Arabidopsis thaliana: one gene and its partners. The protein of the gene in region 3 interacts with the protein of the main gene of each other region in a pairwise test. Each region holds a gene or a part of one and is shown on either strand. Other genes may lie near its edges.

Region 1 (3,803 bases), on a different chromosome or scaffold from region 3:
TCGAGAACCGGGTGGTTACCTATGGGTCGTAATTGGGGACAAAATTGGCATATTAATGCTGATCTCAGGAACCAAGCTCTCTCATTTGAAGTAACTTCTAGTGACAGGTCAACCGTGACATCTTACAATGTCTCCCCGAAAAACTGGAATTATGGACAGACCTTCGAAGGGAAACAATTCGAGACTCCGTGAGACAGAGACGGACACATTGAGATACAATCCCATGATTCTTTTTTTCCGGGTCAGAATTTTTTGATGGCAAGTATATCGATCTTGGTCTAAGGTTATCTTTAGGGTTGAAAAGGAAAGAACTTGGGTCAGACTTTTGCATTTCATAGTTCTCTCTCTCCCACGCATAGGTACAAAAACTCACCAATGTACTAAGAACAGTGATCACACAAACATCACTATTGTATCTATTTGTTTACATTACTAAGGAGCGAAAGCTTCCTTCAAGTGCTTAAAGCTAATGATGAGTACTGAGTCTTATCGTAAAAAGAATCCAAAAGGGTACTGTGATATAACAAGAATCAGAATAGCTAAAGGTTATAACTTCTCAAAGTCAAAAGATATTAAACCTATTATAGCCATGAATGTAAGTTCACTTACTTCTCCAATGTGAAGATCACTCAGGCCAAAAGGATCACCGTGTGTTGTAAAATTCCTATGAACATCCCACTTCTCTTAAAACTCTACAAGAGAACCCCAAACAAAATAAAAGGAAAAAAAACAAAAAAAAAACGTGTCAAGAACTCATAAAGATTGATGAGATTCAATAAGCAACGCATTGAGCATGACATGGACAGCGGCATCATAGACCGCAGAGTCATAATGCATCCCGTCAAGTGTACATTGCGGTCCACAGTTCCAGGTAAACGACTGGATATCAAGCAAGATAAGAGGACCACCCATTTGACGTAAGATCTTACTCTCCCCGAGTGATCTATCATACTCATGCCACACCGTATCACTCATCTTCTCCTTCTTCTCATCCGTATTCAACATCCCGTTGATCAAAACCGGCATCCCAATCCAGAACAGATGCACAGATCTACCGGAGACCGACCCACCTCCTTCTTGCTCCTTTGGCGTAAGGGGCACTAGAGACTCCACATGACTACTCAATTGCCTCAACCTAAAACCAAAATCTGAAGCATTGTTCACATGAAGCATATGCCATAACCCAGTTCCCATGATCACAACATCAGGATACTTTTTCATCTTCTTATAAGATACCACAAGATCATCCAAATCTTTCTCATAAGGAGCCCAAACAAAATCAAGCTTCATCCCAATCTCCTTAACCACAATGCTGTAATCACTATGTCTCCTAAACAAATCCCCTCTAACCGAATCCATAGCCTTGGAATCCGAACCCAAAACAAGATTCAACAAAGACAAAGCCACGAATCTCGCCTGAGAATCACCAGCAACAACAACCCACGATCCATTCAACAAATCCGAAACATCGAACTTATCCAATTTCTGAAACTCACAACTCAAAACTTTCCTCGATTTCATCCAATCCCAGTTCTTCACGAAATAATCAAGCTTTGTTGAGCCATTGTTCCTACGAACAGACTCCGGATTCGGTACCGGTTTAACATCCCAGACAATCTGATTAACCTCGTTGATACAAGAGATACGATGATCGTAGACAACAACAGAGGAAACAGAGGCAACGATGTCGGAAACGGAAGGGAAATAAGGCGTGAGATGAACACAAACCGCGAGAGAAATAAACAAAGCGCCACTAAAGAAGAGCATCTTGTTCCTGCTCAGATGCCAACCAGCCATTGCCATGGGAACGAAGAGGACGAAACAAGCTGCTAATACTCCCAAATGAATCGCTCCTAGCATCTCTCAGACTCAGATTTCGGAATCAGACACATCTAGATTTCCATCTAGACAAAACCAATTTCATCCAGATTCGAATTAACTCTTTTTCTCTATAATTTAAGAAGAAGCTAGGGTTACGGATTTGGTTCGGTGAAGAGAATCTATCAAAATTGAAGGTGAAGATGAAAATTTGGTGAGATTGAAAGGAACAGAACAACCGTAGGCTTCTTCTTCTTTGGTTCGATTTTTTGTATTTAAAATTTTCCATATTTGTAAGATCTCCATTAATTTATGATCTCATCTCTCTGACTCTCAGACATGGTTCGGCTCACTTTAGCCTCATTATGGAACTGGGAACTATTCTAACGTGCGCTCACCGCTGGGAATCACGTGACCGCTTTTAGATTAATCATAAGTTCCTCGGCCCACGGTCAAGCCCATTTATTCACGTGACCGCTTGTAGATTGATCATAAGTTACTCGGCCCACGGGAAAGCCCATTTAGCCCACATCGTTCAACAAATCAATGACACTTTCCTTATGTGTATTTTCATACGTACGATTTCATCTTGGAATGACATTAAATTCTGTAGATCCGCGTTTTCATCATATAATAAATGGAGAAAAAATCATTATAATCATTTAGACTTCTTTTTTTATAGCTAAAGTTACATGTAATTTCGTGATTTTTCTTCACGGTCTTAAGTCTTGGGGATCTTGTAGACTCCGAAATTTCATAATAGTTTCAACCGATTTTTACATATTAACTTTTAATTTATTACTTTCTCATTCTAACCAAATTTATATATTTTTGCCAATGAGGCAATGACCCAATCTAATGGTGGGGCTAATCATAGGACTAATATGTTATTAGTTTATAGAATGTGTGTGAACGTTAAAAAGAATTAAGTAAAGAACCAAAAGATGGATTCATGTGAGGGAAATGTCTCAAGAAGGGTATGTACTATGTACACATTGTAGATATATTAAAGATATATATATATGTGTATATATATGGTGATACAAAGAAGAAAGAGAATATGGAATTTGGAATAATGAGAGAAAAAGGTTATGACGATGATGAGAAAGGCTGAGAAGTGATTCTCTTGGGTTGGCCCATCAATAGCTTCCAAGGATTTATTCACATGTTCACAACTGCTGGATCCCACATGATCATACATATAACCATCTCAAAACCATATGCTTGTTCAAATTTTATATATATATATATATATATATATATATATCTGATCGATTTCATTTTTCCAAATTTTAGATAAGTTTTTTTTTGATAAATCAACTTTAGATAAGTTTTATAGTCGCCTACACCAAATGTGACTGTATGTTCATATGATTATATATAGCTTTCGAGTTTCGACCAAAATGATAAATACTCAAACTATAATTTCTTATATCCATAAGTCTTTGGAGTACGTAATTGGACTTTCGGTCAATAGTTTTTCTATATTGGAACAAAAGTTTTGGTATTTTATATGACGACACTAAATATGGAGAGGAAAGGATTTCTGGCCACTCAATTTTTTAATTTTTGTTTCAAAATCTCCGAAATTTCAATTTTTTTTCCCGAATCACACAACCTTACATTAACAGCCTAATACACTAGAAAATATATGAGCATTAACTGATGGAACGACCATAAAATGGAGTTCATCTTTCTATTCGATATACGATATACAATATGAATATGAGAAACAGAAATAGACATATATAAATGACAAAATAAAATGTAAAACACTACTAGTATAAATTTACAACATCAAGATATCTATTTTTAAAAAAGATCTATGTACGTAGATCGGATGGCAATGTGAAGGGAAACAAAGGATTCGCATGCAAGTGGGTACAAAAGAGACAGTTATTTCAGTTAGAAGTGCCGCCAAATAACAAAAAAAAAAAAGAAAAAAAAGAAAGAGAGATTGCAACAGTTTTGGGTTAACCCAAGAT
Region 2 (7,820 bases), on a different chromosome or scaffold from region 3:
CGAATGCAGATTCAGCTTTCAGCTGTCTTCTACACATTCTCAATGGGGACCAGAGCTCACTATTTCGGTCGAACTATTCTCCATGGTGGGGCCAAGTATAGAGCCACTGGACGTGGATTTGTTGTCGAGCACAAGGGATTCACTGAGAACTACCGACTGTATGCACGCAGTCACTTTGTGAAGGCCATCGAGCTTGGGCTGATCCTCATAGTCTACGCTTCGCACAGTCCGATTGCCAAAGACTCGTTGATTTACATAGCCATGACTATCACCAGCTGGTTTCTTGTGATTTCATGGATAATGGCCCCATTTGTGTTTAACCCATCAGGATTCGACTGGCTTAAGACAGTCTATGACTTTGAAGACTTCATGAACTGGATCTGGTACCAAGGCAGAATCTCAACGAAATCTGAACAAAGCTGGGAAAAATGGTGGTACGAGGAACAGGACCACCTGAGAAACACCGGGAAGGCAGGATTATTTGTGGAGATCATCTTGGTCCTCCGGTTTTTCTTCTTCCAGTATGGGATTGTATACCAGCTTAAAATTGCAAACGGATCCACCAGCCTTTTTGTCTACTTGTTCTCATGGATATACATCTTTGCTATATTTGTGCTCTTCCTAGTCATCCAATACGCCCGTGACAAGTACTCGGCAAAAGCTCACATACGGTACAGGCTTGTCCAATTCCTCCTGATCGTGCTTGCTATACTGGTGATTGTTGCTTTGCTCGAGTTCACGCATTTCAGCTTCATCGATATCTTCACAAGCCTTCTTGCATTCATCCCAACTGGCTGGGGAATTCTGCTGATCGCACAGACTCAAAGGAAGTGGCTGAAGAATTACACTATTTTCTGGAATGCTGTTGTCTCTGTTGCTCGCATGTATGACATATTGTTTGGGATACTCATAATGGTTCCAGTAGCGTTCTTGTCATGGATGCCTGGATTCCAGTCAATGCAAACGAGGATATTATTCAATGAAGCTTTTAGCAGAGGACTTCGCATCATGCAGATTGTCACTGGGAAGAAATCAAAAGGCGATGTCTAAGTTTAAAAAACGGTAAAGCTCCTTGTTCTCAACACCTTATGTTATGATCGTTTAAATCCTGGATTTCACACCAATGCGGGCTTTAAATTTGTGTAGGTCTTAAGAAGTAAATGGTAGTTCAAATCCTATTGGTATGTGGCGAAGGAATCAGTTGGAGGTTAGTTTTCCCGAAACAACCGAATTCGAAGTTTTGTTTCGTCTAAAGAAAAACTCAGATGCTGATGATTTATCTTTGTATTTTAAACAGGTTTTTGGAGAGTTTGGTTGGATGAGGAATCGGGAAGTTGGTTTGATTCGGTTAGATGGGTTTAGGGAGATATTTGATTGTCAGTGTGTGTGGAGGGAACTCTGATTCTTGTATGGTTTTTGTTCTAAAGGTACAGCAATTTGTGTAGTGAGGCTTTGTGTATTTGTTCTCCTTCTCTCATTATAGAGCTTTAGAGCATTTTTAGTTTATATTCAGATTGTTATCTAATGTCATCTCGCAGAGCTTTTGTTCACATTTCACATCTTTTCTTCTCCTTCTTAGTAGAGATCAGTTTCAGATTAGATACTTGTCCATATTCCACTACTCTCGTCTATTATCGGTTTCTGCTTGTCAATTTCTGGGTCCAAAATTGAAATAAATTTATATAATTGGACCACAACACCACTTTGTCGGTTTTGACTTTTCTACTTGGATGCTCCTGAACTTCTTGCTCCCTTTTCTATTACAAATTGGGAAACAATCAGTGTGAATTGGGGAATAAAAAAAAACAGAATTGAGCAATTAAAGCCACGTGGCAAGAAATCGACGAGGGACCAACGTGTTTGTCTGCAAGATCTAATCCTTTTATTAACAAAACGGCGACTGATCTAACGGGAAACTTTTAAAATCGAGAAATTGTTAATAATAAATTCAACTACTTCTGGGCCATCATCATCAATCTTGTTCGTCTTCCTTTTGATCTTATCAAACTACAGTCAAATCACTCAGAGAAAGCTACTAGGTCTCTCCTCGACATTTGCTTTCAATTCGATCCAGTAATTTTCTTCTCATCGGAGAGAGAAAAAAAAAATGGAAGACCCGTTGATTGGTAGAGATAGTCTTGGTGGTGGTGGTACGGATCGGGTTCGTCGATCAGAAGCTATCACGCATGGTACTCCGTTTCAGAAAGCAGCTGCACTCGTTGATCTGGTTCTCTTATTCTCTTACACCCTAATTTTGAATTCGTTTTCCTCTTTGACTTTTCAAAAAGTTTCTATACATGGATCACATCGCCTCCAAGAGAGATTCTATGTATTTTATCAGTTCATTAAGTCAGTGTTTTTGTTAAGCTGAGAAGATGAATCGTTTCTTCTTCTGAGTGATTTCTTCGTATAAGGATTAGTCAATGCTTTTGTGTGTATATCCTCACGAAATTAGCATTGTTTGAAAATTGGGAATGGAGATATCTGTTGTTTCATTGTCTCTAAAGTCTTATGTCAAGAGGATTGTTGGATTGACTCTGATTTGTGGTATGTAGGCTGAAGATGGTATTGGTCTTCCTGTGGAAATACTTGATCAGTCGAGTTTCGGGGAGTCTGCTAGGTATTACTTCATCTTCACACGTTTGGATCTGATCTGGTCACTCAACTATTTCGCTCTGCTTTTCCTTAACTTCTTCGAGGTCAGCACATTTCTTTGGTATACACCAACCTTGCTTGAAAAATTTATAGAAAATCACAACTTGAAAGTAATCACACACTTTTCCTGTCTTTTGCAGCAACCATTGTGGTGTGAAAAAAACCCTAAACCGTCTTGCAAAGATAGAGATTACTATTACCTGGGAGAGTTACCGTACTTGACCAATGCAGAATCCATTATCTATGAGGCAAGTAATTACACTTAAGTCTTGTTTGCCTTTGTTTTTTTGCTATAGATGCATAGATTTAGTGCAGATGGGCTCATGATATACATGTACATCCACTTGAAAGTTTAAGACTTGAATTGCCTTATGTTTGTTTTCTTTAAATCTTGAGAAGCCTTGAGTATTTATTCAAGACTAGTTTATCTCGTTTAATTCGTCGTTAAGAACTTAATATCAACACTCACATCTTATTTTGGATATGTTTATTATAAGGACTGGCCAAGATCCTTTTCTCATTGTGCTGAAATTATAATATTCTTTGCTGTCCAAATAGGTGATTACCCTGGCTATACTCCTTGTACATACTTTCTTCCCGATATCCTATGAAGGTTCCCGAATCTTTTGGACTAGTCGCCTGAATCTAGTGAAGGTATTTCCTTACTAGCCACTTCACAGTTTTGTGTTTCTTCTTTTTGTTGAAAATCGATCAGAAAGTAAGAAATTCCTTTTCTTCGTGCAACAATTTGTCTTCATATTGATTCCAGGTTGCTTGCGTGGTAATTTTGTTTGTTGATGTGCTGGTTGACTTTCTGTATCTGTCTCCACTGGCTTTCGACTTTCTCCCTTTTAGAATCGCCCCATACGTGAGAGTTATCATATTCATCCTCAGCATAAGGTATCCGTAGATCTCTGCTTCTTTTCTATCAACTATATGGGTTATATGTCTTTATTTCTATAGACAAAGATGCGCAGATCATGTCATGTATGATAAATGTCGACGTGTGATTATTTGACCTACTATTCCTCCTATTAAATCTCTAAATACAGCACATTCCCCAAAGTTATGATTCTTTACATTTCTGTACAGGGAACTTCGGGACACCCTTGTCCTTCTGTCTGGAATGCTTGGCACATACTTGAATATCTTGGTCAGTGGCCTTCCCCAATCATTTTTGACTTTCAGATAAGTAATTAACTCATATTGATTGTCATCCTATTTACTTAACTCCTTGAATATTTTCACAGGCTCTATGGATGCTGTTCCTTCTATTTGCCAGTTGGATTGCTTTTGTTATGTTTGAGGACACGCAGCAGGGCCTCACGGTCTTCACTTCATATGGTGCAACTCTTTACCAGATGTTTATTTTGTTCACAACATCCAACAATCCTGATGTCTGGATTCCTGCATACAAGTAAGTATTAGGTGAAATCCCATTTGTGTCTCAGTTTGCTTGTATGGCGTTGCATCCAGTAATTTAGTGACTTATTTGTTCTGTCCTCTAAGGTCTTCTCGCTGGTCTTCGGTGTTCTTCGTGCTCTACGTGCTAATTGGCGTCTACTTTGTCACAAACTTGATTCTTGCCGTTGTTTATGACAGTTTCAAAGAACAGGTGGATTAAGGATTTGATGTTTGTATGGTTCTTATGTCAGCTTTTAAAACAAAAGTATTAACCTCTTTTGACACCTTGTGTCATATCATATCTATTCTGTTTGCAGCTCGCAAAGCAAGTATCTGGAATGGATCAAATGAAGAGAAGAATGTTGGAGAAAGCCTTTGGTCTTATAGACTCAGACGTAAGTTCATCTACGCATAGTGATTATATCTACTCCTAGAGATATCCGGAGAAGTTCTCCTTGGGCAAAGATCTTCATGAATGGAGAGTCTTTGTATAGTTAACCACTTTGCTGAGCATATATTTCTTCGTTCTTTATTTCATGTTTTAACAGAAAAACGGGGAGATTGATAAGAACCAATGCATTAAGCTCTTTGAACAGTTGACTAATTACAGGTTTGTTGCTATGATCTTTGGTATTTTCAATCTTTCCTATGTTTCGAAAAAGAAATACATCTTTTATATACTTGTTTGTGGTTTCTTCCCTTTTGTATGTTAACTTGTGAGACCTGATAATGATATGCATTCATTTTTCCTTATAGGACGTTGCCGAAGATATCAAAAGAAGAATTCGGATTGATATTTGATGAGCTTGACGATACTCGTGACTTTAAGGTAGAGATCTGTGAAGGATGTGGCACATATGATCAGGATACACCTTAAGATTACTATTCACCTAAACCTCTTGACGACTAACAGATTCTTTGTCCCCTTTTTGTTTCCTGTTGAGCAGATAAACAAGGATGAGTTTGCTGACCTCTGCCAGGCCATTGCTTTAAGATTCCAAAAGGAGGAAGTAGTAAGTTCACATATACTTTATTTTCCTTCTCTCAAAATTTACTTACCTCCACCATATGTTTACATTAGCGATCCTTTTTGTTTTCATTGCAGCCGTCTCTCTTTGAACATTTTCCGCAAATTTACCATTCCGCCTTATCACAACAACTGAGAGCCTTTGTTCGAAGCCCCAACTTTGGCTACGCTATTTCTTTCATCCTCATTATCAATTTCATTGCTGTCGTTGTTGAAACAACGGTATATCATGTTCCCATATTTCTTTGACATGCGATTCCTAATTCTTTCATAAGCCATAACAGATTTTGGTATGCAGCTTGATATCGAAGAAAGCTCGGCTCAGAAGCCATGGCAGGTTGCCGAGTTTGTCTTTGGTAAGAACTTGAATAGGTTTCCACTATCTTCTCTCCATTTTGTATTTTTCTTCTATTTGATGCTTTGTGAAGTGTATAATCTATGGTTACTGAGAAATATGATGAAAAGATGAAGAATGAAATAGAAGTTAAGCTATTTCCTGTGTTATTACACTGAGTAGAGTACTTCTATGGATCATATTAGATTGTAACAGCCGAATTTTATTGACCACCTTTTCAGAGTCTTAACTTTTTCTTCTTTTAATTTCTATCTTTGAATGTTTTTACAGGTTGGATATATGTGTTGGAGATGGCTCTGAAGATCTATACATATGGATTTGAGAATTATTGGAGAGAGGGTGCTAACCGATTTGATTTTCTAGTCACATGGGTCATAGGTAACCTATTGAAGCAGCATTTTCATCTTGTTTTGCTGATTGAGTGATTGATGGCTATGCTATAAGTGATAATCTTTGTATCTGCAGTTATTGGGGAAACAGCTACCTTCATAACTCCAGACGAGAATACTTTCTTCTCAAATGGAGAATGGTGAGGAATAACGATGACATATTTGTTACAATGGTCTTCTTTTGTACTAACCCAGACTCTGGTTCTCATTGATAGGATCCGGTACCTTCTCCTGGCGAGAATGTTAAGACTGATAAGGCTTCTTATGAACGTCCAGCGATACCGAGCATTTATTGCGACGTTCATAACTCTTATTCCAAGTTTGATGCCATATTTAGGGACCATTTTCTGCGTGCTGTGTATCTACTGCTCTATTGGCGTACAGGTAAATCAGACTACTGAGTTTTTTGTCTGAAAAATGCAAGCTTATGATGAAGCCTTGGTCAATGGTCATTCTCGTCATTTTTGATTATTCTAAGCCTCTTGAAATTCTTCATCTTTCCGTTCATCTGAATGTTTTAGGAACCGCTGAACTGCTACTCTCATGTGTTTTCCCTGTCTTCTCTCACGGGTTCTATTTCCCAAATCAGATATAAAAATTTCTTCATCTCATTTCTCCGTAGGTCTTTGGAGGGCTTGTGAATGCTGGGAACAAAAAGCTCTTTGAAACCGAATTGGCTGAGGATGAGTATCCTTTTTAACTTTCTGAAAAACTTTTAATGCACTCAACACAGTCTTAGTACACCTTCTCTGTTCCTGTGATTGCTAGTGTGTTTTTAATTTTTTATTACTGGGGTAAAAACGTTTTCAGTATAAGATCGTTTCTTGACGGGAAAAACTCAGCTACCTTTTGTTCAACTTCAATGACTACCCCAATGGAATGGTCACACTCTTCAATCTGCTAGTTATGGGTAACTGGCAAGTATGGATGGAGGTAATTTCACTCTTCTGTTAGTCCCAACTTTAGACTCATTATAGTTTCCAACAAGAAGTATCGCAAGATTCATTGGAGCTGAGGAGGCCAATGCTAGATGTACTATAAACAGCTTGCTTCTTATTTGCCAATCACTATGGTGCAATGGTTTTAACTACTCTTAATTTCTTTCAGAGCTACAAAGATTTGACGGGCACGTGGTGGAGCATTACATATTTCGTCAGTTTCTATGTCATCACTATTTTACTTCTGTTGAATTTGGTGAGTTTCACTGACGCCAACTCCTAAGAGCTCGATCAAACAGAGGCCATGATTGTTGTAAAGAAACTTAACTCTGCTTCTTAGATCGACTTATAATGCGTGTTTGTTTCAGGTTGTTGCCTTTGTCTTGGAGGCGTTCTTTACTGAGCTGGATCTTGAAGAAGAAGAAAAATGTCAAGGACAGGTTTGTTATTGTCTTTGATTCGCCATAAAGTTACAGATGTTGGGGAGATTAGAAAAGTAAAGAACCTTTTGGTTCGTGTTCAATCGGCAATGTTTTCATCTCGTTATTGTATCGTTGCAGGATTCTCAAGAAAAAAGAAACAGGCGTCGATCTGCAGGGTAAGTAGATAGGTCAAATTGTTGGTTGGTAATATCATACTAGACTCAAAATCTGAAGGTTTATTTTGTTTTTATGGTTATTAAAGGTCGAAGTCTCGGAGTCAGAGAGTTGATACACTTCTTCATCACATGTTGGGTGATGAACTCAGCAAACCAGAGTGTTCCACTTCTGACACATAAAACAAAACAAGATCGTTAAGAGCTTATTTATACGTTTATACTGTGAATCTTTGATTCTATATGGAGAGATCAATAGAATCTAGAAGGTGACTAAATTTTTTCTTCTTTTGGGTGAAGATTTAATATAAGACGATTGTGTTATAATTTGTCATGAAAACATATGACTATATGACTATATGAGCATCAATTTCTTTAACACTTTTGTAATGTTTACTGAGTTTTACTTTGACCTTTTAAAATGTAACTTTTATTAGTAAAAAATCCAAAAGAACAT
Region 3 (5,337 bases):
AAAACTTTGATGGAAATTTTTTTTTCGAAATTTTTTGGTGGGAAATTTATTTTGGAATATTTTAGGCGAAAAAATATTAATATTTCATTTTGTTAACCTAAAACAATTTCGAAATATGAGTAAAATGGTCATTAAAAATTTAAAGAGGTATAAATGAAAATGGCAAATAAGAAAAGGTAGAATTGAAAAGGGGTAGTGTGGAAAGGACATTCTGAGCAATTATTCAATATTGTATGACTACTAAATTCTCATATGCAAATGTGAAATCAAATTTGTATTCAATCACTTGTTTATATAATGTCTGGTTCTTTAGATATTAGCTCACTTCAGGTAAGAAAACAAAATGTGGTAGCCTCATTACTTCATTAGTGCAAAGAAAGTGATTCTTTGGGATAAATTTGGATAATTTTGAATCAAAGCTGTAGTAGGACAATACACTTTTATAGTATTTTTTATTAAAGGGAAAACTCAACATCTAAAGGCAAGGAATATCCAACAGTTTGAACGCTAAACAATCAAGGGACAAGCAGAGCGTTTTCTAAATAAAGTTGCCGTTCTTTGAGAGCCGAGCTCGAACCGTAATCTGGCTTCATCACACACATAGTTCATCTTCCCGGTCGTCCCATCTCTGCAATCAGGAAAATGCAACCTCGATCCAAACCTCATATCACCTCTTTCCTTAATATTCTCCATAATATCTTTCACAATCACACCATCCATATCTCCTTCAGAGGCAATCGATGTAACCTTAAGCAGCTTAGGCCACCACGGTTTGATATTGTAACTAAATACTCACAAGAGTTAATCTATGTTAGTTTTCGAAACAAAAGAAATATGTGAACAAAACTAACAACCAAGGAGTGAAATCTTTTGAGTCCACATGCAATATGTGATACAACGAGGATTCATCCCTCTCAGTATAGACTAGTTATTCTGAAACATAGCTTCCTCACTACCGCAAGAATCCCATGATACAACAACTACGCTCTTACAACAATGGTTAATTTGATCACGATTCAATAATCATCTACCATGATTCACTCTCTTTTTGGTTAAAGTTCAAAGTAATATTTTCGCATTTCTTTGATATAAAACGATGTCGATTATTTGGTTCATGACTTTTTATTTCTCTTAGTTTCACAACAACTTCGCTCTCACAACAATGGTTAATTTGAGCACTAACCAATGACCAATTGACCATGCATGATTCACTCTCCTTTTGGTTAAGTTCAGACAGTGTAAAAGCTTTTCTTGTTACAAAATGCTGTCGATTTTTTGGTTCATCAATTTTATTAATTTCTTTTGCACTTTCACCAACACCTAATATTAAAAAGAAAATAAAAACAAGATCCACCAATTCAATGCGATAGGGTAAGTGACTAAATGTTCATTGCCGTTGTCACCCTTTGAACCCAATTTAGGACTCAAAGAGCCGTCTGATTATATTTAACCTTGGTCGAAGTATTTCTAACGAGCTGGTAAGTCCTCATTGGTCCATTATATTCACTGTCCACAATAATTTTAATTACTTGTACGACTCGGTTAACTCCTTCTAGGAAAAACTAAAGTGTACCTACCTAGTACATACGTACTTCTTCATATTACCACAAGTTTTTTTTTTTTTTTCTTGCATTCAACTACGTGTTTAAAGTTTCGGCCCCAAACTTCGGCCCAAAAACAAAAACCAAATAAACTATTACAAAAATCTTTGTTATCATATCACACTATCATTTCAAGTTTTCAACCAATCCATACTCTTAACAATCCCATTAAATTGAGATTTATTCATATTAAGAAATTATGCTGATAATATTTAACTACCAAATTAGGCCGATTCATACCAAAACTATAGAATATGTACTAAATAATTCCATTACCTTCGTTTAGTCATTTTTGGCGGTTTATTTCTTTTGGATAGATCTCATGTCAGACCTTTTTAGACTATTCATTATGGCACCTACCACACTAGTGTGTCTCCATCTTCTGTATTTATATACATATATCATAAGTCAGAACAAAGAGAAAGCAAAGAAGAGAAACTAAAACAGAGCTTTTTTCACATGGGAAAGGATAAGACTTTGCCGTTGCTTGACCCTCGTGAGCCACCGGAACTCACCGGAACCAAGTCGGCGTCAAAAGTATGGGCCAAAGAGTTCGGCGAAGAGTCGAAGCGGCTTTGGGAGTTAGCAGGACCAGCGATTTTCACTGCCATAAGTCAATACTCTCTTGGTGCTCTCACTCAGACTTTCTCCGGCCGTCTCGGTGAACTTGAGCTCGCCGCCGTCTCAGTTGAAAACTCTGTTATCTCCGGTCTTGCCTTCGGTGTCATGGTATGTTACGTAAACACCCTTCACACGTGTCAGGTTCTTGGTAATGGATAATGTGTTCTAATAATAGCCACAGAAATAAAAGTCAATATTTGAGGACTTTTTTTGTATTAATTAATATCAATATTCGTTAATATCAATGAAGTAGATTTTCCCATACATTTAAAATTGTTTCGTAATTGTGATTAAGTAAATCCTAACAGTGTGTTTTATATTCAAATAAAGTAGATATATTAATGTAGTTGAGTTCAGTGTTATAATATTTGTTATACAAGTAATCTCTACGAGGGTCCTTGTGTAAGCTCTCTTGAATTTTGTTGCTTGTCATTTAAGTTTCCTATGAAAAAAGCTTAGAGATCAAACAATATAAACATTTTGATGATGGAAAATGGTGGCAGTTAGGGATGGGGAGTGCATTGGAGACGTTGTGTGGACAAGCATATGGCGCGGGACAGATTAGGATGATGGGAATATATATGCAACGTTCATGGGTCATTCTCTTTACTACTGCTTTGTTTTTGCTTCCCGTCTACATTTGGGCTCCTCCTATTCTTTCCTTCTTCGGCGAGGCTCCTCACATCTCTAAAGCCGCGGGTATCATTCTTGTTATTCCTTTTTGCCAATTGGTTTTGAGTTTGGAGTCAATGTTCACGTAACAACTTCTGCGTTGTTATAATTTTCAGGGAAGTTCGCATTGTGGATGATCCCGCAACTATTTGCCTATGCAGCCAACTTCCCGATACAGAAATTCTTGCAGTCACAGAGGAAAGTTCTTGTGATGGCTTGGATCTCTGGAGTGGTTTTAGTTATACATGCAGTTTTTAGCTGGCTCTTCATTCTTTACTTTAAGTGGGGACTTGTAGGTGCAGCTATCACTCTCAATACCTCGTGGTGGTTGATTGTTATTGGTCAGCTTTTGTATATCTTAATCACCAAATCAGACGGTGCGTGGACTGGATTTTCTATGCTAGCGTTTCGGGACCTCTATGGATTTGTCAAACTTTCCTTAGCCTCTGCTCTTATGCTTTGGTACCTATCCAATTTTTTTTGGCTAGAAGATAGCTTTAGACTTACGTTAGCTGAGACTTCGCTTGTAATGAAAGGTTAGTTGTTTTTGTTTTGCAGTTTGGAGTTTTGGTACTTGATGGTTCTGGTTGTTGTTACCGGTCTCCTTCCTAACCCGTTGATACCAGTCGATGCCATCTCCATTTGGTAATCAATTTGTGCTGATCTTTGGTTAGTTTCTCACTGAAAATAGGTTTGTTTAGTAACATATTTTATGTTTTGGGGTTCACAGCATGAATATAGAAGGGTGGACTGCCATGATTTCGATCGGGTTTAACGCTGCGATTAGGTAAGTTCTCTACCTTTATGTTTCAGGAGCCACATTTGGAAAGCTAATAAAAATCTCATGAACTGGTGAACTTTGTCTCTTGGTGTGATCAGTGTGAGAGTATCGAATGAGCTGGGTGCAGGAAACGCAGCGTTAGCCAAATTCTCAGTGATAGTCGTCTCCATAACTTCAACTCTTATCGGGATAGTGTGCATGATTGTTGTCTTAGCCACAAAAGACAGCTTCCCTTATCTTTTCACTTCAAGCGAAGCTGTGGCAGCAGAAACCACGAGAATAGCCGTCTTGTTGGGCTTCACTGTCCTCTTGAACAGCCTCCAGCCCGTCTTGTCAGGGGTTGCGGTTGGAGCGGGGTGGCAGGCTCTGGTTGCATACGTGAACATTGCGTGTTATTACATTATCGGACTACCTGCTGGTCTTGTTCTTGGATTCACACTAGACCTCGGCGTTCAGGTTAGCTATTTACTAATATGACCATTTTGTATTAGCCTTGTTCTTTTTAATCTGGTGTTAAATCATTTGTATATTTTTGTAGGGAATATGGGGAGGTATGGTAGCTGGAATATGCTTGCAGACACTTATATTGATTGGAATCATCTACTTCACTAACTGGAACAAAGAGGTCTCTTACTTTGTCTTTTAGTTGCTGCTATGTTCCTCCTTTGTGTTTGGTTTGATCATTTCATTAATTAGCTTTGAATTCTAAATTATGCAGGCTGAGCAAGCGGAGAGTCGAGTTCAGAGATGGGGAGGAACGGCGCAGGAGTGATCAACAACTCCCTTAGGACGTGGACTATATCAGTTATTGATCTTTTTTTGTCAATGTTCAATGTTGAGAAAATTGTTTATCGGAGAACAACATCATCTCTTTTTGTTTTTTGATATGCTTAAAGTTAACGAGTCTCTCAGTGATTGTTAGAGGGGTACGGTTTGTTATGTGTTAGACTTATGTTAGATTCTAGGATGGTTGTTGCTAAGCCAAAGTTCTTGATTAATTTTAAGTATGAGATTTAATCTTCATAAGCTTGTTGATCCTTCGTTTTTATTTTAATGGTCAGACTTGATCCAATGTTTATGTTCATTTGAAGGCGAAGATCTTACCGTTTGTCAAACATAGCTAATTAGTGGTGGTATTAGCAACAGATCTTTAGGACTGTCGTTGATCTGTTGCAACTCAGTCACTAAAAATTAACAAATCTTATATAAACAAGAGGAATATTAAAAAGAAAAAAAGAAGATGAAAATGAATATCAAAATAGTTGTGTGACGATACAATATATTAGAGATGGACTACAACAATTCATGAATCAGGGTCACAGACTAACCGTTAAAGCAGTAAATTTGTCTGCCCATCTCATAAGTGTTTGAATTAAAATTTAGGTCAGTCGAGAGCTGTGTGCTATATACTAGATAGTCTACCCTTAATTACTATGTTTGGTTTTCGCATGGAGATTTACTATAAATACACAAACAAGTAATAGTGCTCAAATTGTGAATCAACCCATGCACTAATCCTTTTCATCAATTCGGTCACGGTTAGGATAATGGATTCCGTAATATGGTAACAAATGCATTTTCTGAAATATCAAACTAACATCATTTAATGATTATATTGTTTGATACATTTTATGATATATCAAACTCTGTAAATCAACCAAT

The links. Proteins that work in one complex are often made in the same cells at the same time.
Region 1: the proteins of AT1G47530 (region 3) and AT3G03210 interact in a protein complementation assay, tested with the Arabidopsis thaliana proteins (one large-scale study listed by BioGRID).
Region 2: the proteins of AT1G47530 (region 3) and TPC1 interact in a protein complementation assay, tested with the Arabidopsis thaliana proteins (one large-scale study listed by BioGRID).

The regions. Positions count from the first base shown.
Region 1 is NC_003074.8:739,044-742,846, reverse strand, and holds AT3G03210 (Pmr5/Cas1p GDSL/SGNH-like acyl-esterase family protein), read right to left. Parts: upstream 2,144-3,803; 5' UTR 1,861-2,143; coding exon 754-1,860; 3' UTR 538-753; downstream 1-537. Other genes in the region: EXPA13 (expansin A13), read left to right, coding at 1-192. UniProt on the Arabidopsis thaliana protein: Component of the plant cell wall polysaccharide acetylation pathway. Does not directly catalyze O-acetylation of xyloglucan but exhibits weak acetylesterase activity in vitro.
Region 2 is NC_003075.7:1,578,146-1,585,965, forward strand, and holds the start of TPC1 (two-pore channel 1), read left to right. Parts: upstream 1-1,783; 5' UTR 1,784-2,107; coding exon 2,108-2,227; intron 2,228-2,555; coding exon 2,556-2,699; intron 2,700-2,795; coding exon 2,796-2,903; intron 2,904-3,213; coding exon 3,214-3,309; intron 3,310-3,424; coding exon 3,425-3,555; intron 3,556-3,747; coding exon 3,748-3,808; intron 3,809-3,905; coding exon 3,906-4,072; intron 4,073-4,164; coding exon 4,165-4,270; intron 4,271-4,376; coding exon 4,377-4,454; intron 4,455-4,607; coding exon 4,608-4,669; intron 4,670-4,815; coding exon 4,816-4,888; intron 4,889-5,006; coding exon 5,007-5,072; intron 5,073-5,164; coding exon 5,165-5,308; intron 5,309-5,384; coding exon 5,385-5,442; intron 5,443-5,711; coding exon 5,712-5,819; intron 5,820-5,906; coding exon 5,907-5,970; intron 5,971-6,045; coding exon 6,046-6,214; intron 6,215-6,452; coding exon 6,453-6,517; intron 6,518-6,672; coding exon 6,673-6,763; intron 6,764-6,937; and 8 more. Other genes in the region: GSL05 (glucan synthase-like 5), read left to right, coding at 1-1,050. UniProt on the Arabidopsis thaliana protein: Functions as a voltage-gated inward-rectifying Ca(2+) channel (VDCC) across the vacuole membrane. Is one of the essential components of the slow vacuolar (SV) channel.
Region 3 is NC_003070.9:17,449,664-17,455,000, forward strand, and holds AT1G47530 (MATE efflux family protein), read left to right. Parts: upstream 1-1,889; 5' UTR 1,890-2,060; coding exon 2,061-2,330; exon of another isoform or gene 2,331-2,624; intron 2,625-2,725; coding exon 2,726-2,921; intron 2,922-3,010; coding exon 3,011-3,356; intron 3,357-3,452; coding exon 3,453-3,539; intron 3,540-3,624; coding exon 3,625-3,681; intron 3,682-3,773; coding exon 3,774-4,131; intron 4,132-4,213; coding exon 4,214-4,300; intron 4,301-4,393; coding exon 4,394-4,447; 3' UTR 4,448-4,798; downstream 4,799-5,337.